Arabidopsis thaliana: one gene and its partners. The protein of the gene in region 1 interacts with the protein of each later gene in a pairwise test. Each region holds a gene or a part of one and is shown on either strand. Other genes may lie near its edges. The genes, in order: PAB2, CID8 and CID12.

Region 1 (10,591 bases):
ATAAATCAGTAACTAAACCGACGTTGCTTGTTATTCATGACTAAGTTTAATCACGAGCTTGTTGTTCAAGACTCTAAACAGAGGAACACAATGACAAAAGATATAGTTTCTTAGTTTTACCAGTGTCCAATTATCGTCAATTACAGGCAATCCCGTGACTTTCTTCTCAACCAGAAGTTCCAACGCTGAAAGACAACCAAAAAGACAATTTTTACGAGACTAGTACAAGGATTGACTGTTAAATTCATGGAAAATCTGTTCCCGCATAATTACCATCATCGACCGACGTAGAGGGCTTAACAACGTGCAAATTCTGTCTCGGAGTCATGAAATCCCCAACTGTGTAACCTCCATTTTTTGCCTGAAACACCCAAAAGAGCCAAAACAAATCTCAAACCATAAGCCAAAAGGGTTATTAGGTAAATAAAAGGATTTATCTAAAAGGAGCAAAGTTGACTCACCGGAACAGAGTTATTATTATTAACGCTGGCAGGAGCAGCGAAGAAGGCAGAGACGGTGATTGACGGTGAAAAAGTGGAGGAGCGACGACGATTAGAGAGAGGAAGAAGAGAGAAAGATGAAGAAGAAATCGGAAGGAAGCTTTGATGATAGAGTGATGTAAGTAGTGGAAGTCGAGTTATGGGCATAGAATTGGATAAAGAGATTGAACCCATATTCGCTTATCCTCTGTTACTCACAGATTCCAATGAAAGATTAAATCTTTTCTTTATGAAATCTGAGAGAAGAAACAAAGGTAGAAAATTTTGTTGAAGGAGAGAGAAGTGAAGAAGTAGAAGAAGAGAGAAGCGTTTTGATTGGGTGGTAAAATTCGGAGAAAAGTAGAGAGAACTTGTGATATGATAGGTGGTGGTGGTGGGGACATAGCCACATATCAATTTTTGGTATATGGTTGATTGGTCGGCATATTTACGTTTCCTTTGGGTCCTCAATTTCAAAGCGATATTTTCCATCTTTTTTTTTGGTCAAAACTCAAAAGTCAGATGTTAATAAATAAATAAAAGTCCAATTTCGATTTAACAAGAAACCCTAATTTGAACCCTCTTTTGGTTTCAAGTGTTATTGGATTTTTATGTCGTGATTGTGAGATTGTTGAGTGTTGCCATCAGTTGAAATATCTAGAGATTTTGATAATAGTTAAACCTTTCATACACTCGAATCTTTTAAATATTTTCGAATTAGTTCACAAATATCATCAGACTCAATAAAAGATGTGTTGCTGGCTTTGCTGCATGTCAAATAGATACAAAAAAAAACAAGTAGACTATATAGTTCATGACGCAATGTACTGGAAATCAAAATTCATGTACGAATATTCTAAATCCTTGGCGTAGATGAAGACTTTCTTTTTTTTGGTAAGTAATTTCTCATTCTCAAATAGTTGCAGAAAAAGTAGTCCAAAAACCAGATCAATAACTGAAACCAAAAACAATGGTAAGATTTCAACCAAACAAGATGTGTATCATGTTTCCTTAGACCTCTACTAAGATTTCTATTCGACTAGTCCCAATCAATCTAGAAGCAAAGTGTATAAAAAGTTTAAAATGTATTTCTTTCTCATTCAAACATTGTCTGCTGAGAATGAGACCCATTCATCCATTTTTACCAGGACACCTTTTTACCATAAAATAGAGCTTGAAAAACTGGTAAAAAAAATGACTAGAAGCAACAACCACCAACAGTCAAAAGGCCAAAGAGGGGGATCACCAGCATTGGCCTTATTGGTAATCAAATTCATCTTCCGTGAACACTAGATCGAACAAGCTAGAACACGCAACTAAATCAAAAGAACAAAGCAGATAGGTTTTTCCTTTGTGGTTTAAAAACGAAGGTTTAAAATAACACAAACGCAGTTATGTGGAGGAATCCAAATTCCCAGGGAGAAAACGAATAGCAAAGAAACAACTCCAATTGTATGGGAGAGACAAAAGCCAAAGATCAAATGATAAAAAGCAATTTAAGAGAGGTTCAAGGAAGCGAGCTGCTCGGTTGCACCACCAGCAGCGACACTCCTGAGAACATCCATAGCCTCTGCAACTTTGGCCTTGAGAGCTTCTGGTGACTCCAACAGATGGAGCACTTCAGTCTGGTCCATCTCCAAAAGCATCCCAGTCACTTTGGCTGCAGACTCTGCCTCAACCTGCTCCACCAACGGGTACAGCACCTCACCCAGCATCTGTACAAACACACCCAAAGGGTCACATTATTATAATCCAAGCAAAACCAGTCTCTCTATTTGGTTTTTAAGAGATTCTCTCACCGTCCTCTGTTGCTCTGGAGTAGCATTAGACAGATTTGAAGCCAAAGCTCCAATAGTCAATGGCATGTTGTTGCCCATATCATATGGAGGCACATCACCACTACCACCACGCCCTTGGGGATACCGGAACATCCGACCCCTTGGATGCATCTAACCACCATCCAAACAGAAAAACCATACGATCAACTATTAAAAGAGAGCCAAGCAAGCAAAGCAGCCTTTATTGCAATTAAATAAGGAAAAGAGAAGAACCTGTTGCTGCATCATGGGATTTTGCTGCTGGGAGTGTTGGATTCCCCCAGGACGTCTTCCTCCTCCAGGACGCTGCTGCTGTGGCTGAACCATAGGCATGAAGAAACTGGGTACAGGACCCCCACCAGGTCTCATTCCAGGAACAAGCTGCTGTTGGTATCCATACCCAGGCTGTGGCATTGCATAAGTACAGGTTAATATTATCCCAGCAGTTTCAAAATAGATTTGGAAAGGCTCAAGTATGAGTATAGCAACTATAGAGCTAAAGAATTTAAAAACTTTTCATGTGACTTAAAAGCATCTGTCAGCTTGTAATTCATTATACCCAAGGTAGAAAATAAACATGTGCATATCTTTGTGTAAAATCGTACACGGCTACTTAAAGTAGAGTAACATGAAGATTACCTGGGGAGGAATCATGGCAGGAGGGGCCTGACCATAGAACATTTGTTGTCCAATACCAGGACCACCCGGGGGATACACTGGCATGCGGGGACCAACAGACGGCTGCATTGCAACTGGCCTCACTTGGGAAAACTGAGCCTATTCACATCAATGCAAATACTCAGCAGCAGGAGAAAAAAGAGATTTTTCTGTGATACAAAAATACTAGGACATATGTTGTTTATGCTTTATATATTGTTGCACTTGATTATAAAGAAGAATCAGCATCAGTATTGATAATTATACGCAGTGGGACATTCTAAGACTTGTACATGATGGGTCCAATTGTTTAGAGTTGAAACTCCAACAGGCAAAGTAGGAGTAGTAAGTGTATCACAAGACGAGGTGATTCCAAGAGAAGCAAACCTGTAGTCTGACCCTTCTGTCTTCCTTCCGCTGTGCAATAGCCACATAGAGTGGCTTGCTTTCGATCATTTTACCGCTCAACTGTGACATCTGTACAGTATTCCACTGTTACTAACAATCAAAGTCCTCATAAATACAATCAACAAGACGATACAACTGACTTACAGCTTCAGTTGCTTCTTCGGGAGTTGCGAAAGCAACAAAACCTGAGCCTTTGCTTGTTCCATTAGGATCCCGCATCACCTGTAATATTTAATAAAAGAACTTCTTAAATAATGAACTAGGAGAGTCAACTCACTACAAATAAAGAGAGAGAGAGAGGGACATTGAACCTTGCTAGATGTAACGGTACCAAAAGGAGAAAAGATCTCTTTAAGTTTCTCATCTGAAATGCTAGGATCCAAATTCTTAACATACAAGTTTGAACTTTGAAACTTGTCTGCAGCTTCCTTCAAATTCTGTTCATAACGGACCCTTAATTCTGTTTCCCTCTCTGACTTCTTCTGGGCTCTACCAACATACCACTCCTTATCATCAAATTTGTGCCCATTGAGAGACTCCACAGCCCTAGCAGCATCATCAGCATTTTCAAAGTTGACAAACCCAAAGCCCTTGGACTTCCCTTCTCCATCTTTCATCACGACAGCACTTGTTATCTTTCCATACTCGCCAAAAGCATTCTTCAAGTCATCATCGGTAGTACTTTCCGCGAGATTCTTCACATACACATTGGTGAATTTCGTTTTGTTAGCAGTGGAGTCTCTTTCTTGTCTCCTCAGGAAAGGACCCACATACACTTGCTTGTCATTGAGCAACATGCCGTTCAGTTTCTCTATAGCTTTCTGGGCAGATTCTTCATTGGCGTATTGCACAAACCCATAGCCTTTTGACTGGCCTGAAGAATCGACAGCTACCTTGCACGACACAATGTTTCCAAACGATGAAAAAGTATCATGCAGTGCTTTGTGGTCGATGGACTCGTCCAAATTCTGCATATTATAGCCAGGTTTAGCATCAGAAAGAGAGAAAGAACACCCAATAAAAAAACTTACATAACTAAAGAAATCAACTACTTTTGCCAGACTTTTCAATGAATAATACAAGATACAAATTTTTTCGCAACAATCATCTCGTCTTACAGCAACTCAAATGTCAGAAGGATAGAGACAAGCGTACCTTAATAAAAATGTTGCCAGCGCCACTTCGGCGAACACTAGGATCACGATGAGAATACATAACCCTAATAGGTTTTCCATAAAGAGGTATGTAATTCAGTTCTTGGATCGCTCTTGCAGCTGCAACAAAGACACGAGATAAAGTACCATTAGAAGACAGAAGTAGCATTAAAAAGATTGATTAAGCAGGGGATAAGCTTTCCAACAGCACCAACCACATTGCATACATACAAACACCATAAAGTATCAACATTTAAAACACACCTCATTCAAATCCAGTACTGGTACTATCGAGCAAACCCTAAAAATTGGAAATTGTAAGAAGAAGTCCAAATAAAATTAAGGAGACTAACCGTCTTGGGGATTGGTGAAGTTAACGTATCCATAGCCAAGAGATCGGCGAGTGACCAAATCCCTACAGACACGAACGGTGACCACAGTACCCATTTGGCCAAACGCATCGAAAAGCTGCGAGTCCGTCACATTGAAATCGAGATCCCCCACATAAAGCGACGTGTTACCAAACTGGGTCGCCGTTGCTCCACCTGACGTCGCCGGAGCAGAAGTGACCGCCGCGGTCGAACCATTCGGAGTCTGACCCTGAAGTTGAACCTGCGCCATTATCTTTTTTTGGATTTTCGAAACTTTTTTGACTTTTTTTGGGGTTTTAGTTACTCTTCCCTCCCCTCTCGTTATTAGACTGAAACCAAATCGAAAACCCTAGAATTTGAAAGAAGAAAAAGAAATCGAATCGAATGACAAAATCAACAAAACTAAAGCCAAAGTTTTTATCTTTTCGTTTTTTTTGTGTTTTTATGGGTATATCAGAGGAGAGGGAAGATGAAATAGGGTAAGAAATTGCCGGCGGCGAAGCCTGCGACGGCGAGTGAGATATTTGGGGGCCGAGAGATTCTAGGCGAAACAAGCACAATTACGATAGATGAAAAAGAAGCATTACGGTTTCTCCTTTTCTTTGCTTTTATATTATTAACCCAACAAAAAAAAGAAACCTTTAATTCCCCTAGAAGAACCCTAGGAGTGTGAGATTGATCTCAGCCGTTGGATCGAGTCTGAAGTAAATCGTAGGATTGATTTTAGAGTTGCTGGTGAATTGATAAGGTCGTCTTCCTTCTCGTCACTTTCGGAAAAGTCAAACAGATACGCGCGTGTTTGACACTTTCGAATCTAATTAGTAACCAAGTTTGTTAAAATTTTGTACAGTGATGATATTTTCTTTGATTTATCTTAACATTTCTTAACTCTGATTAGCAATATTCTCACTGGATCTTGATGAATTTTGATTTTCCTAAAGTAAAAGTTGTTAATATTAATATTTACCGCACGATTTTATATGGTATGCAAAAAGTATCTTAATTAAATAACCAATATGTTAAGATTTGACTTATCAAAACAATTCAACTTAATACACGATTGGCCTTCCAGTAGAATTGTGACACGAAAGAACATAAGATGAGAGATGAGATTTTGCAATACGCAATCATTTCAAAAAGCATTACAATAGAAAGTAGAAACACACAAGGCATATATATATACGAAGCGTCATTACTCATTTCTTAAGATCCTTTGGATATTATACACAAACAAAAGAGGATCAACGGGATACACATTGACTAGTAAATATTTCCAAGCCTAAGTTAATACGACTCAGTGCACAGTTTCTTTCTAAGCTTCTTGTTGGATTGCACGTCTGAGCCTTAAGTCCATTATCAACATCTCCCTAAAGTCCTATCAAGATACCATCTCCCGCATCCTCACTACTTTGGTTTTGCCAAAGCAGCTTCCCCAAAGTTATGGAGTCTCCGACCAATGAGATAACGGTCATCACGGATAGAGTTGTGAAGGTTTCTAAACCAGAAGCAGAAGAGGCTCACTGAGAGACAACCTATCCATGCGAATCTGTAGACCGCTGAGTTCACTACTAGCGGATATCCGAGCATTGGGAACACTCCTCTCGCCAACACATAAGGCACACATAAAGCCGTTAGGAGTTTCATCACAATCGGGAACACAATCTCTCTAAGTACCCATAACCCTTGAAGCATATGGGTCTGAGATGAACCTGATATGGACATCTATCTAATGGGGTTATAACATTCCTCTTATTTTTATTCTGTTGGAAAATAAAAAACCAAAAACAGTATCAACGAGTATGTCTACAATCACACATCGGCCAAATAGATCTTCAACGCCAATTCCTTAAGGCTTACATGCACTAACATAAGAGACAAAAGACAAGAATTTGCAGTAAGCGAAGGTATTCTAGAAGCATTATCATAGAAACACACAAGGCATATGGACAAACGAAGCATTATTCTAAAGATCTTTTAGTTTCGTACACAAAAACAAAAAAAAGAGAATCATCAACGGATATAATAATTTACACATCGACTAATAATAAATCTTTCAAAGCCATCTCTTAACGGCTTAAGTACACAAAATGTTAAACGCCTCAGTGCACAGTTTCTTTCTAAGCTTCTTGTTGGATTGCACGTCTGAGCCTAAGTCCATTATCAACATCTCCCTCTCGTCCTATCAAGACACCATCTCCTGCATCCTCACTACTTTGGTTTTGGTTTTGATTAGCTAAAGCAGCTTCCCCAAAGTTATGCAGTCTCCGACCAATGAGATAACGGTCATCACGGATAGAGTTGTGAAGGTTTCTAAACCAGACATGGCATCTTTTTGCACAGAAGCAGAAGAGGCTCACTGAAAGACAACCTATCCACGCGAATCTGTAGACCGCTGAGTTCACAACAAGCGGATATCCGAGCATTGGGAACACTCCTCTTGCCAACACATAAGGCACGCATAAAGCCGTTAGGAGTTTCATGACGATCGGGAACACAATCTCTCTAAGTACCCATAACCCTTGAAGCCTCGAGAAGCCATCTTCTCTTACCCGCTCAAACTTTGCTCTCCAGCTATCATCCACTATTGGAAGCATATGATCCAGCATTACCTGTCCATTGACGTTGTTTTTTAGTGACAAAATATCTTCTTCTGCGGAAATAAGTTGCTGATTGTTGGAGAAAATTACTTACCAGTCTAGTCCAGATTTTCAAAAAGATGAGCCCAAGAGCCCAGTCTTGATACAGGAGGAACACAGGGCTTTCATCAACTGGGACTCTCATTGGGACAATCACCAAAAGCTCAAACAGAAGTCCAATTAGCACCGGAATGATAAAAACCTGTTCAATCACCATTTGAAAAGTACAGAATCCACATTTAGTAGAGTTTAGAGTTTCTCGTATATTGAAAATTTAACAGCACAAAACACTTACCCATATGGCTAACAGCACCGAGCTCTTGAATACAATCCCACACCATTTCCATATTTGGTTAAGCAAGACTGAAGTCCTCTTTGACTTGACATGCTCGATAGCATACCTGGCCCCAGATATGGTAGTCCAAAAGGCATATGTGCCAATGACGAAAGCATACAGATCTACATATTTTTAGGGAATACTGTTAATAATGTGTAACCCGTGCCAAAGAATGACTCAGAAGATCAAAATTAACAAACATTACCATTGCACTTGATGCCATGAGTTATTGGAAGAATGGGAATGGCACTGAATAGAGCACGTCCCAGCGAAACTGGCACAACTATCAATGCTGAATTGAAGAGAAGAAGAGTCACCCATGCAACAAGTAGAAGGAGAATTATCCGGACCACAAAGTTGTACCTGCTAAAAATATACATTCATATCAGGGGAAGCCCTAATGGGAGTCTTAAAGTACTTAGTCAACTCTATATACCAAGCGAAAAGTCCTGTTAATTTATTCAAGTATGCCAAAATTCTTAATATCAAACAAGCTATTAGCTTATTTTTAAAGTAAGAACTTACTCAGAATCAGATTGTTCGTCATCATCTTCATATTCCTCACCCGTGTTGACATTCCCAGCACGGAGGCGACTTCTGTTAGGGTCATCAGCTACTGGAAGCGCAGCCATGGCCCTGTCAGGTCCTCCGACCTGCAACACTTGTGCTCTGTTCTGCCTTCCTGGTTCACCATTTCCATTGTCCTGACCAATGTTGTCTTCTGGTCTTGGCAAGAGGAAGTCTGTTAAACCAAGCGCCCAACCAACCCCAGTGAACCAGCAGCGTAGAAGGGACTTAATTGTGGTCCGAAGTCTGAAATGCTCGATGATAAATGGAATGCATATTTGAAACAGAAGCATGTCGGCGGGAATCTCAGTGAATGGGTCGGATACACTGCATATATGCCCAAGTTAGGAAAGACCTAATCAAACACAAAATCTCCAAAAACAAGAGGTTAGTCAATATTTCTTACGATATGTCAAGTGGAAAGATTGAAGGAGCCATCCGGATCGCAAGTTTGACTGGTAAAAATACCAGCATCACAATCAAACTTCCATACACTGCAACTGATAACAGTACCCTCCGAGCATGCTTGTGCACTGGATCATCAATCAAATCTCGGAATGGATTGTAATTAGGATCTGCTGGATCACGAAGGAAATACAGAACTCCAGGACGAAGAACCTGCAATTGGCACAAAGTGAAAAGATATATTTAGATAGCAGCAGCGAAAAAAACTATTTCTAGAATGAAAATGAGTAGGGACAACACAGTACCCCTCGAAGAAGGCTGACGAAGATGCTTATTTGCAACATGTACATGATTCCAACAACCCAATGAACAAGTGAGCTTGCCAGAGGAGAAATTGATAAAAACTGTACCCTGTGGGACATTGTTTTACCGAACATCCTAACAGTGCAAACATCTAGCCACCAACCACACATCAGAGGAAAGACCCCAAGCTCGATGACCAAAAGAAAGGCAACTTTGATCATGGTCATCAGATGCCTCATTGCTGCCAAGAACTGTCTAAGGAGGGATGGTACAGCTTCTACTATAGATGCAATACCATAAAATCTTCCAACAGTCAGTGGCTCACCCTTGGCATATCGAATCAGTGCAATGATCCCAAGGTAAAGGAACACCAGAAATACGATAAACATGTACCCAACAGCCAGAGTTGTAATATCAGAAAGCTTTGAGGCCCCAACAGTAGAACCTTTCAGGAGATCAGTAGCAACTGATAGCGTATTGTTTGCTCCATTCAATTCACTTCCGTTGACTTTCATCATTTCAGTGAGCTGACCAAGCAGCCCATTTCCTTGGCCCTCGCTAGTCAAATTCGAGACAGCAGTCAGCGCACTCTTCAGAGTAATATTTTCCAATGAGAGTCCGGTATCTGTAAGATGCAATGATGCAGCCACAGCAGGGCCTCTAGCAGCAGCAAAAAGCCATGACACGTGATACAATATAATCCGTCCCAAGGTAAAGGGCACGAAGATAACAACACCAAGGAATATCATATTGCTTGCTAGAACCTGCAAAATTATGCACATCATGAAGATTTAATAAGGGCCAATAGTGAAGAAGAAGGAACATAGAATTTAAAATATACATTGCCAAAAAGTAGAAACATCAACTTACAGTAAAGGCATTCTCAACCAAATGAAACACTGGACCTTGCATTCCAACCAGCTCATCAAATGGAACGTCTTCTGCACCATCAGCGTCATCCAACCCATCAAACATCTGTTCAACCTGAGCCTCAAGACGAGCTGCTTGTATGTCCAACCTTGCCAGAACATTTTCAGGATTCCTTCTAGCAATCTGACCAACCGCAGCACCCTGATCCCCAGCATCTTCACCATTCCCCTCTCCAGCAAGATTCCTATTAGCCTGTCCAGCAGGTCTTCTTGCAGCACGAGCACCATTTCTGTCCACATCATCATCTCTCTCTTCTTGTCCCCCAAGCTCTCGTAAGTGCCTAAAGTAGTCCCTTAATGAAGTAGCTCCAAGGAAGATGAAGACAATACTTGCAGATAGTAAGAACCCATGCAAGCAATCAGTGAGAATTACTGTGGTGGAGATGTGGCTTAAGAACAACCTTTGAGCTTCACCAAAAGTTCGCACGAAAGCCAAACGCCATATCCAAAATGTAATGAAAGGTATAGTGAGAAGCCAGACAGAAAGCACAAAACTCAACCGCAGAAAGAACTGTAAAACATGGCAAG
Region 2 (10,591 bases), on another chromosome or scaffold:
ATGACAACAACTCCCGCTAAAACGCCGCTGATGCCTACAACAATAAGTTTGTACTTATCATCGAATTTCATGGTTTCTTTGTTTCGTTTGGAAAACTGATAATATCTCTATAGAACTTAGCAGAGTTAATGATGAATGAGGAAGATGCATATGACATAATGAGGGATTAGTGAGCATTTAATAAGGAAACCAGAAATTTGTGATTTTAATCTAATTACGGGAAGGACTTTGAGACTCCTAAATCATAGAGATATAAATGTAGTCCTATATTCGGATAACATACAACATGCATTATTGGATGTCCAATAAGTCTACCACTATCGAATTTTTGACCACAATTTCTCTCAACGCACTCGCTCGTAGTAGCCAAAATAGAGTTAATACAAAACAGAACGAATTAATTACTGATCACTACCATCGACCATTATACTTACGAAAATGTAATAATTGATTTTTATTACTTCTTACGTTTCACAACATTTTATTTCTTGGTTTTTGCTCTTTAATGTATCAACTAAGAATTTTCGTTTTGGAAATTCGGAGCATACTCAATAAAATACTCGTACTTCAAACTTGAAAGTAATTTATTCATGGCTACGGTTGAAGCGGCGGCCACAACCGCAGCTGCAATTATCGCAAGTGTGACCATATGTGTGTTTACGGAATTGTTCATTCGATAAGATTTCATTGAACAAATACACTACTCTCTCTCTCTTTTCTTCTCTATTACGGCATGTATAAGACACTAGAACCAACACTCAAGAACCATTCTCTTTTCAATTACACATCCAAAAACAGGCTTAAACCCTTAATAACCCATTGATGAAAAGGGATACAATACAATCTCCTCAGTAACAAAGATCGAAAGAACAATGCCGTTATTACGGAAACCCTCAAAACGTATGACGAAAAAGCTAACGCCCAAATTTTGAGTACTAGTTCAAAAGAAATGGGTACCGTTTTAAGTAGAGGCAAGATCTAGAGTACGATCTATAAACTCAACCGGCGATGAAGTTTTTTAAGAAGTTTGAAACCTGAGTTCTCTATTTGTAGCTTTGTGACACCTCTAAAACGAGCTTGTCCATGAACTGGTATTTCTTATCAAATCCCCAACCTGGATTACTCTGCATTGCCAAAAGTATTTCAGAAAAACATCAATACCTCTCTAGAGATATCTGATAGAAAGAGAGTAATGTTAGATGAAGAGTTTGAGTGTTTAGTTAAAGAGATCAAACCTTAAGAGTAAGAGCTGCACGATCTGCAAATCGTTTCACGGAATCAGGTGCACTTGCGGGAAGCGTTGTAGCAATTCTATCGAGTTCCTCGTTCTGTTTCTTAGCAGTTACACGATCAGGACCACTGTAGTGATCAACAATCTCTTTCATAAGGGGAGCCTGTGTCATCGCTTCATTAATTGCTTCCTGCAGAAAGTGAGAAATTCAAGTGATCATCAACTGAAACAAAATATTGCGTCGATTCATATAAAAACAAATTCACAAATTGAACACTATTACCTCCCATTCTTCTTGATCCTTGATTCCTTCGTAAGCCACTATGAAAGGCTTCACCTTCTCAAGGCACTCACGCAGAGACATTGGTGGTTTCTCATCAATGTCAGGATTTGATCCAAAGTCTGGCATAATGTATTCAGGCTCACACTCAATCTGCAAACCAAAATAGATAGAGAAAACTAAGAGACTCAAAAACCAACAAAAAGAGCACTTTCTCCATCGCTCCTTTGACTGAATGACCGATTTCACAATGAAAGAACAAAAACCATAGAGGCTATTATAAATCTGAAAATCATACAAGACGAGATGGTGGCCTACTTTTGTACATTGTGCATATTTCAGTCAAACAACTTCAAAGCCACCACAACCAATTCTACCACATTATAGAGTATGACTCAATACTAATACTATTGCTACTCGAGAATTCAATATTCCTAATACTATTTGAAGTTTCAGTGTTACCATTCTCAGTAGCAAGTTGTATACTTTTCTAGACAATTCATAGAGAAAATAAAACACAGAAACATTTACCATGAGATTGGTATCATAAGCATCTATAATGGCATCGTGAGTAGTAGAAGGCAACGCCTTTTCGCAAATTTCCTCAAAACCTTCCGCAAGCGTTTTCATCAATTCAGGTCCCATTTTCTCAGCAAACTTCTCTCCATCAGCTGAATCTCCAGCAAATATACGCATAGCCTCTTGTTCACCTTCTTCTTCTTTCTTATCATCTCTCCATCCATCACCACCTCTTCCTCTGCCTCTCCCTCTTGCTCCTCTTCCTCTCCCTCTCCCTCTCCCTCCTCTTCCTCCCACACTGCTTCCTTCAGCTTCACCACGCGAAAGCTCACTCCTTGCTCTTCTTCCAGCCTCTTCCGCACTCAATTGCGGCTTAGGAGTTCCATCTTTGACCGTTGGAGCCCGCTTCTGCTGAGGTTGTACTCTCTGCTGCTGCGGTGGAGGCGGAGGGCGTCGAATTTGGCGGTTATCTTCTTGTCGGATTGGAGCAGATTCCACAAGAGGCTTTCCTCGACCTGCTCCACTAGGATGTGAAAATTCGTTTCCTAATGCATTGAATATGTTATCAGGTGGATCAGCTTGACCAGGTTTAGACTCTGGTGGTGGTGGAGACGAAGTTGCGTCCTGCATCTCCTGCAGCTTCACAAATACAGGACTTCCCTGAGATTCATCATTAGGCTGCTGCTGTGGTTGCGAACGCGGCTGCTGCTGTTGTGGTTGTGAACGCTGTTGCTGCGATTGAGACTGTTGTTGCTGCGGTGGAGGCGGCGATTGGCGAGGAGGTTCAGCAGCGAAAGGTGAAACGGTGTCTGATCCAACGGATCCTCTTCCACGGCCAATACTAGGAGAATCTGATTTGACAAATGACGTAAACGCAGGAGAAATCGAATCAGATTGGATCGGACGACCACGACCATGACCATAACCTCCGGCAGATGACGGTTCACGTCCAGGAACCACCGGTTCACGATTTACACCGAATTGTCCTCTTCCAGCGGCGGGAAATCCTCCATCTTCACCGGAACCGCGTCCACGACCACGGCCGGAGGAGTCGGAGGAAGAGGAGAAATGAGATGTGGATTGGGTGAGAAATGGAGTTTGTTTGACTAAGGATGCAATGGTGAAGCCATTAGGGTTTGAGAATCTTCTTCCTATAGCACTTCTCATCTGTGAGATCTCTTCAAATTTCAAGAACTTTCGTAAACACTGGCGATTGAGGATTTGAGGGTTTTGAGTTACTGTGTTAATCGGAAAATGGGGGTTTTCCGAAACGTCGCCGTTTCTGTTGACTTATTGCTGCATATTTGTAAATTCATCCCTGTAGTTTGAGTACCTGATGGGAAGAGATTTATACTTTTCGATTTGTCGAAATCCCCCATAGTTATAGACATTAGGCCAAATTCAAGCACATTACAAAGAAAATGATCCAAAATTTAATTTTGCAGTTCCATCCCTGGATTTTGATACCTGACGGAAAATGAAATATACTTTTCCATTGACCCAAAAACTCCTATGAAGAGAATGATTATGCCAAAACTTAAGCGTTCAACACTTCAACATAAATAGTAAAATCTAAAATCTCCTAAATTCTAAACTTTTTTAGTTAAGAACCAACAAAAATGATCAAAAAAAAACCTTTAAAGAAAGATGATATGACTCAATAAGTCAAAGAACTCAGAACAAGAACTCAAAATCCAAGAAGCATGTTCATGGTTGTTGTCTTTCCAGAAACTACATAATTGGAAAACAACTGCTCTAGAAAAAGAAAGACAACTGAAAAAGAATAAATAACTGAATATTGTTGCATCACTCTCCTTCATCAACAAAGCCTCTGTTTTCTCCTAGTTTGGCGATGGTGATCGAGTGATTCGCGATCTCACTGGTGTCTTTGAAGGGCTTACCCTGAAGAATTCAAAAGATTTCATTTCAAATTGTTTTTATATTCAATGAAAGGTTTGTCACAAAAGAGAAATAATGTGTGTACCTTATCGGCTGAGATCCTAAGACTATTCCGCTGCAGTTTAGCGCTGCAACTGCACTCTCTGCCTTTTTATCCCGTAAACAAACGCATATTCAGTTGTTAAGTAAAAACTAAGCCTTGAAAAGTTCAGCTTTACTTGTTAACACTAACAAAAGAGGACACAGAAGCTGAGTTTTAACAGGAGTTTACCATGGCAAATTCAACAAAAGCTATGCGAGTAGAATGCACTTGGTCACCAAGAAGCCTTAAGCGAGTAACCTGTACAGAGAGAGAAGATAGAAAAAAGTTGAATGTTATTGTTGTTTTACAAATTTCATATTATCTTTATGAGAGCAGAAAAAGCAAGTTTTCGGATTCTAGACTGACCTCACCGCAGGCAGACTGAAAGAAGGTATTGACATCATCTTCAGTGGCCTGCAATTTATAGGAATCTCTCAAATCCGAGAACAAGTATGCAAACGCAATCTAAACTTTAACGGAGAAAAAGTATTTACATTCTTGTCAACATTTGTGCAGTAGATGGTCCTTGAACACATCTCTCTTTCATCTTCTGACTGAATAAAACACCAAAGGAAATAGTGGAAACCATCATTTTTGTTTCTAAAACTGTAAGCTACTATGCAGGCTGAGAAAAATGGAACTTCTTGTTTTTTACCCTGGGGAGAAATGTGGGATTCACTGGAAGAATAGCAGTTTTTGAAGGTAAGACTCTAACTGGGTAATATCCGATCATTGTTCCACCAAGACTTAAAGCCGATCGTGCACCTTCTGTTTTTCAAAACAAATTCATACTAATGTAACTCAAACTTGACACTTGAATTTTGTTTGTAAAGAAGATTAAGTAAAATCCAATAGCTTTAACTTACGGTCATCAGAAAACTCAACAAACGCAAAGCGAAGAACTGAATTCGGATCCCCGCAGATTCGACAATCAACAACCTTCAGAAGAAGAATGTAATATTAATTAACAAACAAAAGATGAAAACCGGTAACAAAGCTTATAGATTTCAACTTACTTGTCCACAGCTGCTGAACAAGCCAGCAAGGCCTTCCTCAGTCACCTATTTGAAAAAAAAAAAAAAAAATAGGTGACAATGTTGAAAAACTGAATCTTTTTTCTGAAAATCTAAAAAGAGGGTTTAAGTAACTTACACTCTGATCAATGTCAGAGACATACACTGTTCTTCTAATACTATCTTCTCTTTGAGCCTTAGAAGCTCTTCCAGGTAACCTCACTCTCCTCCCTTGGTTATAGTTGTTTCTTCTCTGTAATCCACAAAGCCAAAACAAAAAACAGACAATTTACCAAAACTCTTAATGAAATGTTAAGTAACGATCATATAAGAGTTGCAAAACTTGACAATGTAACTATTAGCCAACCAAACCAGATCAAAAAACAAAACTTTCTATATGAAACTTCAAGCTAGAGACTTTCCAGCACAAAGACCTAAACCCACTTAGAATGAAACCTCATTTAGAGGTCAACCAAAAATCCAAACTTTACCAATCAAAATATAATCAGAAACAGAAGAGAGATTGTACCCTCCGGTTAATGGCAACCTTTTTGTTGTCTTCACCAGATGGCTTTATAGCAATCACAAAATCGTCAGACTGATTAGTATTCCTCTTGTAAGAAGGGAAAAACTCCTTAGCTTCAGGATTGAGTTTCTTGAACATGGCAACAAGCTTCTTCATTTGATCATATTCCGGTTTGGATTTGGGTTTGAGGTCATCCGATTCGATTTCCGGTTTAGAATCCGTGCTCTTCTCAATTCCGTCTCCAGTTCCACCATCGTTGATTACGTCATTTGAATCAGTGGCCATCTCAGTGATCGCAGCCATTAATTAGATCAGAAAATTCCAAAAAAATATAAAACAACAAAAAGGATCACAATTCAACAAAAAACAAGAGACAGAGGAAAGAAAAAGTTGCGAACTTTTCCTTCTCTCTTCAGTCGAATTTCGTAAAAAAGATGCAAAATTTGATGAGATTAATCGAGTTTTATTGAACACCCATTTCAGAATACGAGAATGCTTAATCGTAGACAATATATAAATCTAGTGCGGTGGTTTCAGAAGGTGGCGATGGATGAGAAGAAGAAGAAGAAGAAGGAATGATGGGTTTTGGTTTGTTGCTTAGGCCTTTTTCTAGCTCAATCAAATAGACCAAAACTCTCTAACAAGAGTGCTTCTCTTTTTTTTCGGACTAAGATTTTTTTCTTAATTAATTTCGTCAAATGTAAAATTAAAAAGAAAAGAAAAGTTATGATTCTTTATTATTTTATGTTCCTCTTGAGGGCCTTTAGATAATTACATATTTTACACATACACCAGTTTATTACATTTTTTATATTGAAAAAAATCTTTAGTAGTTTTAGTACACTTTTTTTGCTAAGAAATATATTACACATTACTAATATTATTATTTAATATAATTGTTAAAATGTTATTATTTTTGTTATGGATATTAGATAGGGTGTGGTCTTTCATATGGACTGCATTGAAATGTGTTATTTTTTAGATACTGTTAGTTTGACACATCAACAAAATTTTGATTATTTTATAAACTTTTATTTTCTTCATAATTGCAAGCAATTGTTATAATAATTAGTCCATAAATCTTTGGATTCGTTGGGGGATTTTTTCCTTTTTTTAATATATTTTTTAACTATTGCTGGGATTTTATAGTTCCACTTTTATAATCTGCTTTTATTCTATTTTGTTATTTTATTTTACATTTCAATTTTGGTTTGCAGTTACTTTTGTATTGATATCCCTAATAACAGTAACCACACAACAATATGATAATTTTCTGGTTTTTCTAATATAAAATTTGAATGGTTTCTCGTCAGGAAAAAAAAATACAAACAAAAAATGTAAGACTTTGCAACGATGTATTAAGTGTGTAATTTGTTTTGCATTTTTTTATTGTTGCATAGAAAAACTATCAATTTCTTACCAAAACTCAAATTACAAATTTAGAGTTTTCATAAATTTAAACTCACTTCACTTCTTCAGATTACGAGTTTTAGTGTTTAAAATTAATGAGTTGGTCTATAAGAGCTTCGTGTGTTGGGGATTTGAAAAGATTAACCAAAGCTTTGTAAGAATTTTGCACCCAAAAAAAAAAGTTTTTGTAAGAAGGGTGAATTAGCTGTATAGCCATATTAGGACAAAAAATTAAAAATATAGCCATATAATTTACGTAATTCAGCAAGTAACCAAAAACTCTAACTAATTACAAGTCTATCCCTGCATTATTTCCTTATTTTCCAATTTGCCATGACTCATCATCTTCTTCGTTTTGTTGATCAGATATTGATCTAAAGGTAATATTCTATATGTTCTAAAGGTAATGGATTGTGAATCAGATATTGATTTAAAGGTAATGTTTTTTTAACAGACCTTTTTCATTCATCATCTTCTTCGTTGCTTCTTCTCTTCTCTCCATCCAACAGAAAATTTCCAGAAAATTTAAATTTTTTATATCAATCCATTCTAATTTAAAAACATCTATTGATTTAAGAAAACTAAACCCTAAGATACTATATATGGAACCCAAACAAAAATAATTAAACTAAATGAAATCATCTCAAGTTTCAGTTTTTAGAAATCTGACAAAATCATGTTTATATACTTTTAATCTCTTTTCTCCTTTCCTAAAGCGAATTGAAATCGATTCGATTTTGGGTTTAAATTTGTGTTAAGGATTTTCAATTTTATATATTGATCAAACCAGAAAATATTCAATAAGATCTTGTGAGTCTTCGTTTTCATTTTTTTTTTGTTCTAACTAGCAAATAGAATGGTACAAAATTGAAAGTAAAATAGAAAACTATAGTTCGGTTCTGTTTTAATTAAGTTAAAGTAGAAAAAAAAGATGAGAGGCGAGAGAGGTGAAACAAGCAATGGAAGAGAGGAAGAAGTGATTAAGGTGGTGGTGGTGTGTATGGTGTAGGTCGTAGTAATATTTGTGTTGGTGGTTGCAGTGGTCGTGTGTCAATTGCGGCGGCAATAATGGTGATGATGGTAGAGATGACAGCGTAATGGTAGTTTCTATGGTGGTGACGATTGCAGTGGTGATGGTGATGATGGTATGACATTTGTGGAAATAGTGGTGGATGCAATGATGATGACGGTTACAAGGGTAATGGTTGTAATAGCATAGAAGAGATGGTGATTGTATAGTTAAGGGTACTTTAGTATATATTATAGTTTATATACAAAATGTCTCTGTTTTTTTTGTTGGTTAGTTTCTTAATTATAGTTTTTTTGTTAGTCAATTTTGCAAATTTCCCTTTTAAGAATAATGATATATATAAAAAAAAAATAAAAAAATAATGATATTATACTGGGCTTTAATTTTACTGGTCAACAAAAGCCCATAGTCTCTCATTATGTGTTTATGACCCGTGTACCCGACCCATCTTTATAAATTAAAACGGATTTCGTAGAAAAGAAGTTATTTAAAGAGGGATCCGCTAATTTCTTCGTTACTTTTAGTCAACTTTAAAGAGTTTGCTTAGAAGATGGAAAAGTGAGGTACTATTGAATATTCAAGAAGAAGACATACCAAATGAGAATCGCAATATCTTTTGCTGATTTGAGACCAAAACGATTGTTGACTCTAATGGCGGATCGAAGTCGGATCAGAGGCTTTCTTAGAGAAGAACATGTGACGTATGCTTCCATTCTTCTCTACATCACTCTCTCTAGCGGTCAAATCTTCTTCAATAAGGTTTTAAGTCAAATCTCACATTCATATGTTATTGGATCTATGTTTTCTATTTGCAGTCTTTTTGCTCAAGATTTGATTTTATTAGATCTGGTGGACATTAGTAGATTTTAAAGCTTTTAACTTTGACAATCTTGGTAAAGTTCTGTTACAATGCGATTTGGTTTTGGACAAGAAATATAATAATAATAAAATTCTTGTTAATACAACAGTAGGTTCAAATGTATGGTTCAATGGTGAGTTATGTACTTCCATTACACAAATGATTATTCGCTTAAACAACTTTTTTACTGTTCAAACTTTTGTAAATTTTGGTTCATTCCATTTCTCTTTAGCTTCTTTCAGTTTCTTTTTTCCAGCACTAATTTTTATTTCTGACTCAATCTGATGCAGTGGGTATTGTCATCTAAGGAAATAAACTTCCCTTATCCACTTGGATTGACATTACTTCACATGACTTTTTCCTCTGTTTTGTGTTTTCTCCTCACGAAGGTTTTTAAGGTATCTCATTGGTTATTACGAAGACCTTTAATTTCTTTAATGCTTATAAGACAAAAACGCTTAATTCTGATTATTAGTCTTCTTGTTAAAAGGTCATGAAGGTTGAGGAAGGAATGACATTAGAAATGTAAGAAAGAAAGTGTTTCTGTAAGCAATTTATTTATTTTTGAGTTGTAAATACCGTTTAGCTAAAACATCACTCTATGTACTCAGATATGTTACATCAGTTATTCCAATAGGTGCAATGTTTGCAATGACTCTATGGTTAGGAAACACTGCTTATCTCTACATAACTGTTGCATTTTCCCAAATGTTGAAAGCCATCAGTAAGAACTTAAGCTCTTCCTGATCTCATTTGCGTTACTTATAAATTTTAGATAATCAAGAATCATATTTTTGCAGTGCCTGTTGCTGTGTTTATACTTGGAGTTTGTGTTGGGCTTGAAATAATGAGCTGCAAGATGCTTTTGATAATGTCAGTCATAAGTTTTGGCGTTTTAGTCTCGTCTTATGGTGAATTAAACATCAACTGGGTTGGAGTTGTTTACCAAATGGGTGGTATTGTTTCAGAAGCCTTGAGGCTAATCTTAATGGAAATTCTTGTTAAGAGGAAAGGCATCAAATTAAATCCACTCTCTCTTATGTACTACATGAGCCCATGCAGGTATTGTGAAAATCAAAGAACCCTATTCTCATTATTTATTTTTTTAATTTGAAGAAATCATAAAATTCACCAATTTAATAAAGTTTTTTTTTTTTTTTTAAACTTTTGTGGACTTTTACTTTTCTACTTTTAAAAGAATCCCAATTTTTTTTTTGCTTGTATTGATGTGTGTGTTGCAGCGCGATTTGCTTGTTCATACCATGGATATTTCTTGAGAAGTCGAAGATGGATACATGGAACTTTCATGTTCTTGTCTTGAGTCTTAATTCGCTATGTACATTTGCTCTCAATTTGTCGGTTTTTCTTGTGATATCTCGAACAAGTGCTCTTACTATCCGAATTGCTGGCGTGGTTAAAGATTGGTTGGTTGTTTTGGTCTCAGCTCTTCTCTTTGCCGAGACAAAACTCACAATCATCAATCTCTTTGGTTATGCCGTTGGTAAGATCATCTTATGTTTACCATTTCAGACAAAATTGAGCATTGGATTGTAAGACTTAAAAGTGTGATCTTGTGAATTTTGTTCACTCGCAGCCATCGTTGGTGTAGCTACGTATAACAACCATAAGCCAAAGAACGGTGAAAGCATAACGTTGGTTTCTCAATCTCCGAAAAACTCCGACAAGAAACCCGATGGCCCATTATAGCATTTTTCAACATAAGAGAGGTAACACATGACATA
Region 3 (10,591 bases), 9.8 Mb from region 1:
TTTTTTTGCCAACTACAAAATCATAAAGCACAATAATGGGTGTAATTGTTTTGTTACGATAAATTAAAAACAATGTATATAAATATATATATATTTGTACATTTTTGTGCAAGGTTTGTATTTGTACTTATGATCATTTTAATGTTACATATAGTTCTGAGGAATGATTCGCATATGACTTGATCCAACATAATTCCATCGTGATTTTTTCATCATGCATTCATTTTTTTTTTCATGCTACGTAGAGAAATGTGCCAAGCATGGAGTATTTGGTATAATTTTAACAGGAGCATGGAGCATGGAGTATTTGGTATAATGTAGAATTAGGTATTCAACTGACTTGCTTTTATTGATTTACTAATTATGGTATTTATACACAATGATCTCTATCAAGAGATAAACATAAATTCCTAAAATATAGGTTAGAAACTCTATCACCAAAGATATTGTACTAATCCTAATCGGATTACACATATTCCCAATACTCCCCGCACGACAAACGTGATACGCAAAACGCAAACTTTGCAATCACAAAGCGGAACACGTATGTCGTGGACAATATGTCGAGGACGGACAAATCATGTCAATAAACATCTTAGGGTATAAACTTTATTCTTGGGGTGGAACTTCATCTTGTCTTCGATCTTGGTAAAAGGGAATACATCCCGTGTGCGCAAATTATGCTGCTCCACAAACAATCGTCCTTATCTTGGACGGTCCATAACTCGGATTACACATGACCTAAAAAACATGAGTGTTCCATAAACTCTACTAATGGCTAAACTATAACCAAACTCCCCCATAATGGTAAAACTATTACCAAACTCTCCCACAAGAAATGTAACAACATAAACAAAAAAGAAACTCTGAAATTTCTCTTAACTTTAAAATAATTCTAGAAACATAAAAAGAAAAACCAAAACCAATCCTATTAAAAACATAGGAAACCAACGATCACGTAACCTCCATCCCTTAACATGCCTACGTTTTCGTCGGCGTCACCGTCTTCTCCTTCAGTGATCACTATCTTCATGATTTTTTTTCTTGATCACAAGAACTTTAATGCGGAAGCTTTAATTCTTATCCACAAGGATCGACTGCTCTGATACCATGTAGAATTAGATATTCAACTGACTTGCTTTTATTGATTCACTAACTATGGTATTTATACACAATTATCTCTATCAAGAGATAAACATAAATCCCTAAAATATAGGTTAGAAACTCTATCACCAAAGATAAGTACTAATCCTAATCGGATTACACATATCCCCAATATATAATTTTTTCATTATAAGTTTTATTATATGTTATAATTTTTGAAAAAAAAAAGAATGTTTGTTATAATTCTCTTCCTCCAAATACTTTGGTGAGGTTTACGATAAGATTGTTACGTTCAATCCTTGCTCTGAATAAGTTTTGGTTCGTGTTGTTTAAATTATTCAGTACTTAACTACTAAACTAAAATCATGTATATGTGGATGCGAAATATTGTTTTCGTATTTTTTTTTCTACGGTGATTTCAATATTGGTAGCTATATAATCTTTGTGTTTAATGAACTTAAAGTACCAAAAAATTACAAGTGAGTTTTCGGTAAGGAACTCAGATTATTTACATCTCATTAATCTATTTACATTAATTCGTGATCTTCTGTTTACTACGGAGTTTGGAGTATTTCAAAATGTTTTCTCTAGCTGTATCTTCACAAGATGGGCTTCCCGATATGGGCCTCTCAAAATATATTTTGTTTTTGTTTAAACAACCCAAATGTAGCTTTTTTCTTGTTTAAACCCAAATTGTATTTGTTTTTATTTTCTAACAAAAGAGAAGTATTTCGGGTGATACCAAATAACTTTCGAAGGAAAAAGACAAAACATAAAATGAGATTTGGTATTTTGGTGGTTGCTAGGAAACTAGAAGATGTCTAGTACCATGATTCGATTTCCGGAAAATAATACAAGACAAGAGTTTGGTAGCTATTGCGTCGATAACATAAACAATTAGGCAGCATTTTAAACTAAAAGAATAATCTAAAACCACTATTTTCAGCTTTGATTCCAAAAACACAATAATTCTTTTAAGAAGATGTACAAAAATTCGAAAAAACTAGGTAGATTTGCTAAATTTATCCCCAATAATTACAAAACCAGATACCAAATCAAAACACATGTATATTATTTCCGAACTGGTTCGGATTAATTGATTTTCAACTCATAGAAACAGCATAAAACATAGGGGTAATTAGAAGAAGAAAAATTATGGTAATGTAAATTTAAAATAATGTAGACAAAATCAATTAAGATGTTGTATTTGTTTAATTCTTGACCGCCACTATATGTAAAGCCTATTCTTGTTCGACGAGCAGTTTGCTATTTTTGAAGGCTTTAAAGATTTGTTTGTCGGTCTTCAAAAATTATATATGATTCTTTTTTGTGTTTTGTTCTCATTCAAACACTACCGAAAATCACTTTCCGGTAGATCATCTATCATGAAATTGCTCCAGCACAAACATGCTTAACTGTAAAGTTTTTTCGATATGTTTAATCGAAAAGATAAGTGCATTTCGTGGATATAGATGATCTAATTAATTTTTAAAACTCTTTTCATTCACTACTATATATCCTGAAATCGGGATGTTACAATTTATTTCTGAATTTTTTTAAGTGTCTCCTACATAACTAGATATGTTACAACCACTATGGATCTTATTTCTAAAAAGTATTGAATACATCATGTCTAAATTGATTAATTCTCAAATATACTACATTTTATGCTATTTTCTGTAACTTCCATCAGAATCCAAAATTTTTTTTTAACATACCATAAATTTTAATTTTATGATTTATGAAATATTTATAGATTTTATTATTTTAATATTTTTAAAAAAATCCAAAATAATAGTATCTTTTTAGCTAAAATTTCTTTTACTGTATTTTAGGATATTTCTCTATCTAATTGTACACCATACATATAACCATAATTTGGTGTAATTCAGATTTAAATTAGGATGACATCAAAATTAGTCAAAATCAAAATAGCATCTCTATTTTATTCTTATACTTCCAAGGAAAAAAAATAAAAGAGCTTTAAACGTGTCGTTATAGCTGTAAAGCTGGTGATGGAACTGGTAAGTTGGTAACTGCTTCGACCACCGTACGAATATGGTGGTTACTGGTTAGGCTACACGGTAATTTCTTTTATTTACCTGCAGTGAGAAAGGTAAATAATAATGAGTGAGAGAGTAATGGATAATTCTGAATTTGTAATGTCATTGTCATTGTTTTGTCAGTAAGTGATGCTTTAGTTAACTCATGTTTATCCATATGGGCCATTCTATGTTTCATATATATATATATATATATATATATATATATATAATATGTTATTTTACTTTTTATAATTTTGATTCTTAGTCTTTATCAGAAAAGAAAAAGAATTGATTCTTAGTTCTTGGATTTATGAAAAGTAAATAATTATGTGCAAAGAGATTCTTTGATAATTTTTCAATATAATAAAATATTAAGAATATTATTTAAAAAAAAAAAATTGAGGGAAGAGATTCATTTGATTTTACGAAAACGCTAAAACGAGATGGATTAAATGTTAGCCTTTTTCATGACAAATATGTTGTAAAGCATAATCATGTACAAGGTAAAATAATTTTGGGTTTTTAGTGTTTATGTCGTAATTCTATAATTTTTCTCAACTACTTTTTTCTTTGTATAATTTAGCATTTTTAATATCAAACACTTTTGATTCCAAATACAGTTTATTTTTATTTTCTTAAGACTACTTACCAAACACACATAAACGGTTTTTAATATCTAAAGTTACCAAATGTATGTATTTCAAAAAACAATCATCAGCAAATTTAGATGTTTTGAATTTTTATTAGAAGAAATGCATTGCATGGTTATAATTAGAAAATTAAAATAAAATATAAATCAGGATTATATGACCAAAAATTGTTTTAACTTTTACTTAGCATTTACACATAAATTAACAGAAATATAATATTTTTTAAAAAATAATTTTCTTATAATAAAAATTGTTATATTGAAATTCGAATATTAAGATTTGGCAAGTCGCCAAAATATAATCACACTCAACAAATTTATATTGTCTCACTAATTATCTGTTCATAATACATATATCAAATGTATAAATCTTAATATAATAAATTTTAAACTAATTTCAACTGTCATACTAAACAAGAGTTTATACAAGTCTTTACCTAGTGTTATACTCCCTCTGGAAATGTTAAAGCTTATTGTTTAAGAAAACATATTATACACCTAAAGAAAACTATGCATTCGTTTTGTGCCATGTGTTGTTTTACTAGTCGTGACTCGTGATTCTCCATATCATTACGTTAATCCCAACTCTCAACTATTATTATGTTATTTTTTACTATAGAATGGAAACTTGTAGATTACTTATATGAAGGTTGATTAAAATGTAATTAAAATCTGTATCTTTTTTATAAAAAAAGTCTCTTCATATATGTTTTAGTTGATGAGTGATGGACAAGTAAAAATAAATAAAATAAGTACATACGTTTTGTTTTAGTGATATAAATATATGATGCCAAAAATGTACATATATTTTCTGGATAAATATTAGAGTTGTAGATCCAGGTTTGCTATGATCTAGCTCTGTCCGAAAATTGCAGAGCGTGATCTTTTCTCTGTAGTACGACCGATTTGTTTTACTTTATCCAATCGTTTTAACTTTTTCACCACGGTTAAAAAAGTTAAAATCAGATCTCTAACCATTTTCTCAACGAACCTCGCTAATATTTCTCATTTAATCAAAATTTAATCACCATTAATCCTTTGGTTGATTACTCTTTTGTCCTCTTCTTCTTCTCTCTTCTCTTTCTTGGTGGCTCTCTTCTTATAGCCACTGTTCCCTTTTTCATTGTATTCCTCAAATCTCTTTACTTGATCGTTGGTTCTCTCAAAAATCAGATTTTTATTTCTGGGTTTTGTTCGATTTTGTGATCATGGCGGTCATTGAGAGCGTCGGAGCTAATACTACTGTGGAAGCTGGTGGTTTGATCTCGCCGTCGCCGCCGTCTTCCGTCACCAGTCAAGAATCAGGAGCTTCTTCTAACAACGATCACGGTGGAAATGGAATCCATGATGAGATCGGAGTCCACGTGGCGAGATCCGACGGTGGTGAGAGTTTTAAGCGTGATATGAGAGAGCTTCACGAGCTCTTGTCTAAGCTTAATCCTATGGCTAAAGAGTTTATTCCTCCTTCACTTACTAAGCCAGTTGTTAATGGTTTTAACGGCGGTTTCTTCGCCGTTAATAATGGCTTTGTTGCTGCCGGAAATTTCCCCGTCAACGAAGACGGTAGCTTTCGTCGGGTAAGAACATCTCTCTTCTCTCTTCTCTGTGATTTTGGGGTTTTGAATCAAATTGTTCTTTAGGGTTTTTGATGATTCTTCATTTTGGTTTCTCTGTTTCTTCTTGTGTGTGTTTGTGAGTTTTAAAAATCTCACCTTTATGTGTCAAAATGATTTGATTTGAAACAGAAGAAGTCGTTCGGACAACAAGGGAAACGGAGAATGAATCCTAGGACAAGTTTGGCTCAGCGTGAAGAGATCATAAGAAGAACTGTCTATGTGTCTGATATTGACCAACAGGTTTTAAAAAGTTTCCACCTTTCTTCAATTGTTCATTCTCAGCCTTTAGTGTATAATCACTTATTAGTAATCTTATTCTTGGGTTTAAGGTCACTGAGGAGCAGCTTGCTGGTTTGTTTATCGGCTTTGGACAGGTTTAAGCAACTTCTTAAAGTTCATCTTTGTTTGTGTTGTGTTATGGTGTTGACTGTATTTGGTTGTTTAGGTTGTTGACTGTCGTATATGTGGTGATCCCAACTCAGTACTTAGGTTTGCTTTCATCGAGTTCACTGATGAAGGTATCATTAGTTTCTCTATGTAATCTGTTTATTGGATAATGCCTGTAAGTGCTTGGTTTATGGTTTGTCATTTTGGGACTTGTAGTGGGTGCAAGGACTGCTCTGAATTTGTCTGGGACGATGCTTGGATTCTATCCTGTGAAGGTTATGCCGTCTAAGACAGCTATTGCACCGGTTAACCCAACCTTCTTGCCAAGGGTAAGGTTTTTTCTTGTGTTTCATCACATTCTGACTGCAAAGTTATGGTTTTTTAGACTCAAGAGGTTTGATTTTAGTCCTGTCTTTGTTCTTAGACTGAAGATGAGCGTGAGATGTGTGCAAGAACTATCTACTGCACTAACATTGACAAGAAGGTGACTCTCACTCGAATAAATTGGTTTCCTTTGCCAAACTATTCTGAAACTTAATGTTGCTAACTTTGCTTAGTTTCACTTTTCAACAGCTCACTCAAACCGACATTAAACTCTTCTTTGAGTCTGTGTGTGGCGAGGTGTACCGTCTGAGGCTACTGGGCGATTATCATCATCCAACTCGCATCGGCTTCGTGGAGTTTGTCATGGTAAGCAAATACTTCTGTTATCTCTCTTTCTTCCAACCTTCCATTTGTCAACTATAACGCTTATGCATTTTCATTAGTTAAGTATGATCTTTTCACTCTTCCGCAGGCTGAAAGCGCGATAGCGGCTCTCAACTGCAGTGGTGTCCTTCTTGGTTCTTTACCGATAAGGTCCAAGAACAAACCAACACTTACTCTTTAACATTCTCTCTAAATTGATCATCAATCTGAACATTGATCGTACTTTGGTGGTTGGATTTTGCAGGGTGAGTCCATCAAAGACACCGGTTCGTTCCCGTGCTATCCCGCGACATCAAATGCATTAACCGTAGCTACAAGTTTTATATATATTTCTGCTCCTCACAGACATGTAAAGAATGTTTGTCTGAAACTTCTGGTTCTTCTGTTTTCCCGTATGTAATGCTAGAAGCTTGATGATGCTTCTGTTGCCTTTTGCTTTTGGGTAAATCTCTTAGGGAGAGTTTTTTCGATTTGGGTTCCTACGTTTAGTAGTTTACACAGAGCAGAAGAGTAAAACACTGAGAGAGGCTTTTGAAGATTGTCTCTGTTTTTTAGTTATTTATACTCTTACCCCTGAAGTTATTAGAAACTTGCTTTGGTGCTTAAAAGTTTCTTCTACATTTTAGAGTTATGCATTTACATTATTGTCCTTCTTTGTTTTTTTTAATTGTTTTCGTCTTCGAGAAAAGTGTTAGGTACATGAAAGTCTGTGTTCTTAGTTGAACAAGTCAATTTCTATTTTCATTTTAAATTTCGGAAACGTGAATCATGTTTATCAGAAGAATATCAAGATTATAAAACTATACTAGTCACAAACATATTTAAATTTTAACAACAAATGAAGAATTTTGAGAATTTTAATTATATTTTCTTTGAGATATTAAATTTATAAATTTATGTTCAAAGTTTTTATGTTTTCATGTTAACGTCGGGAATCAAAAGTCGTCCTAGAAATAAATTATATAATTACCATAAACAATTTTGAATTTAATTATAAAAAAAGAGAATGAGGAATCTAGAAATTTATTGTTTTACCTTAAATTTTTGGATATTTCCCATGTTTAGTCTATGTTCGTAGTCAACTCAAAACAAAATCAAATTTCTGTTTTCGATAGGATTTAAATAAGAATTATCAAAAAACAAAATCTGAATAAAATAAAGAAAGGAATCTTGGAAATTTTTAAATTTTACCCTGAATATTTGTATTTTTTTCTTAAGTTTTAACTTTTCTTTTGGTTCTCCTTTCATCAGCAAACACATTAATATCAGTCAGACAGTCAAATTCTTGAATTGGTCAATGTTAAATTTTTAATTATCATGACAAGTAAACTTGCTCAGTTGTATTTTTAATCGAATGGTAAATAAACTTTAAAGGATGAAATTGTAATTTGCAAGTATCACACGTCAAGCGTATGTGGTGGCTAGTTGGACTTACACCAGTTGAGTTGATCCATCTTTGCGCATTTCGAGAGCGTCTCTGTCATCTCTAAGTAAAGCTTTGACATCTTTTGTACTTTCCAAAACATACAAAAAAAACAAAAAGTCAAAATTGTTGTAATTATATTACAATAAAGCAAAAGTGGCTTGGTCTGTTGTCTGCTTGCCAAAATCCGAAGGGGGGCTAGGCCTTCGAAGATTCACAGAGTGGAATGTTACACTTAGTCTAAAGCTCATCTGGCTCTTATTCTCTAATAGTAACTCTCTTTGGGTCGCTTGGCATAGACATTACTGGTTCATAAAGAAAAGATTGCAGGATACTTGGAATTGGAAGTGCCTCATACGCCTAAGACCACTCGCAGAACGTTTTATTAAGTGTTATCTTGGTAATGGGTTGAATGCAAGTTTCTGGAGGGACAATTGGTCTCCTTTTGGGCCACTGATTAAGTTTCTAGGTGAAGAGGGTCCAAGGAGATTGCGGATCCCTGTGGTGTCCTCTGTTTCTAAAGCTATTGTGGAAAATAGTTGGATTTTGCCATCACCACGTTCTGATGTTGAGCTTCAATTACACACTTACTTATCAACTATTGCCCTTCCATTGCAAACGGACTCGGCAGATTCCTATGGTTGGGTTGTTCAAAATGTGGATTGTAATGGTTTTTCTTCCTCTAAAACATGGGAGGTCCTGAGGAGAAGAGAAGACAAAAAGGATTGGGCTCCTCTTATCTGGTTTAAAGGTGCAACGCCTAGAAACTCATTTCATATGTGGATTTCAAATCTCGATAGGCTGCCTACTCGTGCGAGGTTGGTTTCTTGGGGTCTGCAGATCTCACCTCTCTGTTGTTTATGCTCTCAGTCTGTTGAGACCCGGGACCATCTTATTCTCACTTGTGGATTCAGTTCTTCAATCTGGAACATGGTGCAGGCTAGGCTTAGGTTGCAGCCTGTTCAGTTCAGAGTTTGGGAAAGCTTACTATCTTGGATCAAGTTAAGTACGGCCTCCTCTCCTTCCATCATTAGGAAGCTTGTTGCTCAAGCCACTGTTTGTGCTATTTGGAAGCAGAGAAACAACCTTTTGCATAACTTACAAGACATTCTACCGTCTATCATCTTCAAGAATATAGACCGTGAGATCATCAATTCCATCAACGCAAGGTGTCATCGGAGAAAGTTTAGATCGCTTATGAGATTGTGGATCAGATAGTTCTGTCTTTTGGTTATTATAATTGTTTGCTTCCTTGTTTTTTCTTTCTTTTTGCCAAGGAACCAAAGCTTTAGGTAATCAAAAATATAAATCCAACTCTATTTCATTTTATATGATATTTACTCACTTAGCAAAAAAAAAAAAAAAAAAGTTATATTACAATTTGCTGGTACTAATTAATGACTTTTATTTGTATGTTTAACTAGAGCCCAACCCAAATTTATCAAACGCACATTTTTTTTTGACAACTTCTTTTGAATTTTCTATTTAATTATATGGCTTTAAACAAAAGAAATTATGATATTGTGAAATTGTTTTAATAGGTCAAATATATTCAAATCAAGATATTTAACGGTTTGAGTAAAAATAAGCTTATAGCAAAACTTCTGAAAATATATATGGTCACGTACATATTTTGCAGCTAGGAAGTGGACTTATATTACTAGCTAACCAAAAACTTATAGGTGCAATTACAGTTTTAGGGAGATTTTTTTAGTTCTTTTTATTTTTATATTAGATACCGTTATGTTTCTTTTCCCGCAAAATCTAGGTACTTTTGATCCGAGGAATGATTTTTCCATTATTAGTTAAATAGCGATACTATTAAATAAAAGAATAACTTCTACTATCTATGTTCATTTTAATTGATTTTCTAGAAAACTACATATATTAAAAAATATATATTAAAACTGATTAGAAATGTATTAATTTTTTTAAATTATATTTTTTTTATAATTTTAAACCAGTGATATTTAATTATTTGTTTTAAAGTTTAAAATTCATCAATAATAACTAATAAATAGTGAATAAAAAATCTAAAAAATTAACTTTTTTGAAACAATTGTTTTTCCTAAAAGATCAAGTAATAAGTAACAGAAATAGTAATAAACTATTTTCTTATCTCAATCATTGTAAATAGTTTTAAAATGAAAGTGGAATACAAGTTTCAGTTATAAATTATAATTCACACTCAATAACATATTTTGAAGCAAGGAAGTGTACCTATATTAAATTTCAATTTCATGGAGCTTGAACATATTTTGCATCAAATGAGATCATGCAGTTTTGGATGTTATTCAACTCATTCAACATCGATTGCTATAATTCATGATTCTCCATCTTTTCAACCTGCTTTTCAAAGATGGCTACTACCGAATATGTTGCCTCATACTTCATTAGATTCTACATTTTTTTATATAATAACCAGGATGACCTTTGTATATTTTTGGCCAAGACATATCTTTATAACTTATTAAAATGTCCATAAAAAGCCTTTGAAAAATCTCATGAGAAAGTCACAAGCCCATGTAAACAGTGAGTAAGGTAGTAGCTACACATATAGTATAAGCCAGAGTCGTAGATCAGGATCAAGTGTGCCATGAGAAAACTTTGGCTTGTATGCACTAAATAACAAAGTGAACTAGCATGTTAGAGAAAAGAA

What was found.
Region 2: the proteins of PAB2 (region 1) and CID8 interact in a two-hybrid assay, tested with the Arabidopsis thaliana proteins (2 studies listed by BioGRID).
Region 3: the proteins of PAB2 (region 1) and CID12 interact in a two-hybrid assay, tested with the Arabidopsis thaliana proteins (one study listed by BioGRID).

What each region holds. Positions count from the first base shown.
Region 1 is NC_003075.7:16,331,277-16,341,867, reverse strand, and holds PAB2 (poly(A) binding protein 2), read right to left. Parts: upstream 5,578-10,591; 5' UTR 5,137-5,577; coding exon 4,869-5,136; intron 4,636-4,868; coding exon 4,517-4,635; intron 4,330-4,516; coding exon 3,673-4,329; intron 3,584-3,672; coding exon 3,506-3,583; intron 3,431-3,505; coding exon 3,341-3,430; intron 3,074-3,340; coding exon 2,936-3,073; intron 2,702-2,935; coding exon 2,531-2,701; intron 2,429-2,530; coding exon 2,279-2,428; intron 2,195-2,278; coding exon 1,976-2,194; 3' UTR 1,554-1,975; downstream 1-1,553. Other genes in the region: LEJ1 (Cystathionine beta-synthase (CBS) family protein), read right to left, coding at 121-185, 274-361, 462-674; CER9 (RING/U-box superfamily protein), read right to left, coding at 7,004-7,495, 7,578-7,724, 7,818-7,981, 8,065-8,225, 8,385-8,753, 8,833-9,044, 9,137-9,898, 10,005-10,591. UniProt on the Arabidopsis thaliana protein: Binds the poly(A) tail of mRNA. Appears to be an important mediator of the multiple roles of the poly(A) tail in mRNA biogenesis, stability and translation. In the cytoplasm, affects both translation and mRNA decay.
Region 2 is NC_003070.9:20,025,391-20,035,981, forward strand, and holds CID8 (CTC-interacting domain 8), read right to left. Parts: upstream 6,230-10,591; 5' UTR 5,854-6,229; coding exon 5,554-5,853; intron 5,278-5,553; coding exon 5,164-5,277; intron 5,073-5,163; coding exon 5,028-5,072; intron 4,951-5,027; coding exon 4,878-4,950; intron 4,780-4,877; coding exon 4,667-4,779; intron 4,566-4,666; coding exon 4,506-4,565; intron 4,426-4,505; coding exon 4,378-4,425; intron 4,270-4,377; coding exon 4,201-4,269; intron 4,077-4,200; coding exon 4,015-4,076; intron 3,933-4,014; coding exon 3,872-3,932; 3' UTR 3,533-3,871; downstream 1-3,532. Other genes in the region: AT1G53640 (uncharacterized protein), read right to left, coding at 1-71; AT1G53645 (hydroxyproline-rich glycoprotein family protein), read right to left, coding at 1,044-1,124, 1,236-1,421, 1,515-1,664, 2,043-3,197; AT1G53655 (uncharacterized protein), read left to right, coding at 7,367-7,396, 8,001-8,111; AT1G53660 (nodulin MtN21 /EamA-like transporter family protein), read left to right, coding at 8,588-8,749, 9,140-9,247, 9,340-9,374, 9,461-9,573, 9,650-9,911, 10,091-10,350, 10,444-10,556.
Region 3 is NC_003075.7:6,552,330-6,562,920, forward strand, and holds CID12 (CTC-interacting domain 12), read left to right. Parts: upstream 1-4,652; 5' UTR 4,653-5,006; coding exon 5,007-5,375; intron 5,376-5,543; coding exon 5,544-5,654; intron 5,655-5,743; coding exon 5,744-5,788; intron 5,789-5,859; coding exon 5,860-5,932; intron 5,933-6,017; coding exon 6,018-6,130; intron 6,131-6,225; coding exon 6,226-6,285; intron 6,286-6,374; coding exon 6,375-6,491; intron 6,492-6,597; coding exon 6,598-6,659; coding exon of another isoform or gene 6,660-6,690; exon of another isoform or gene 6,691-6,753; coding exon 6,754-6,814; 3' UTR 6,815-7,273; downstream 7,274-10,591. Other genes in the region: AT4G10613 (RNA-directed DNA polymerase (reverse transcriptase)-related family protein), read left to right, coding at 8,710-9,150. UniProt on the Arabidopsis thaliana protein: Binds nucleotic acids in vitro.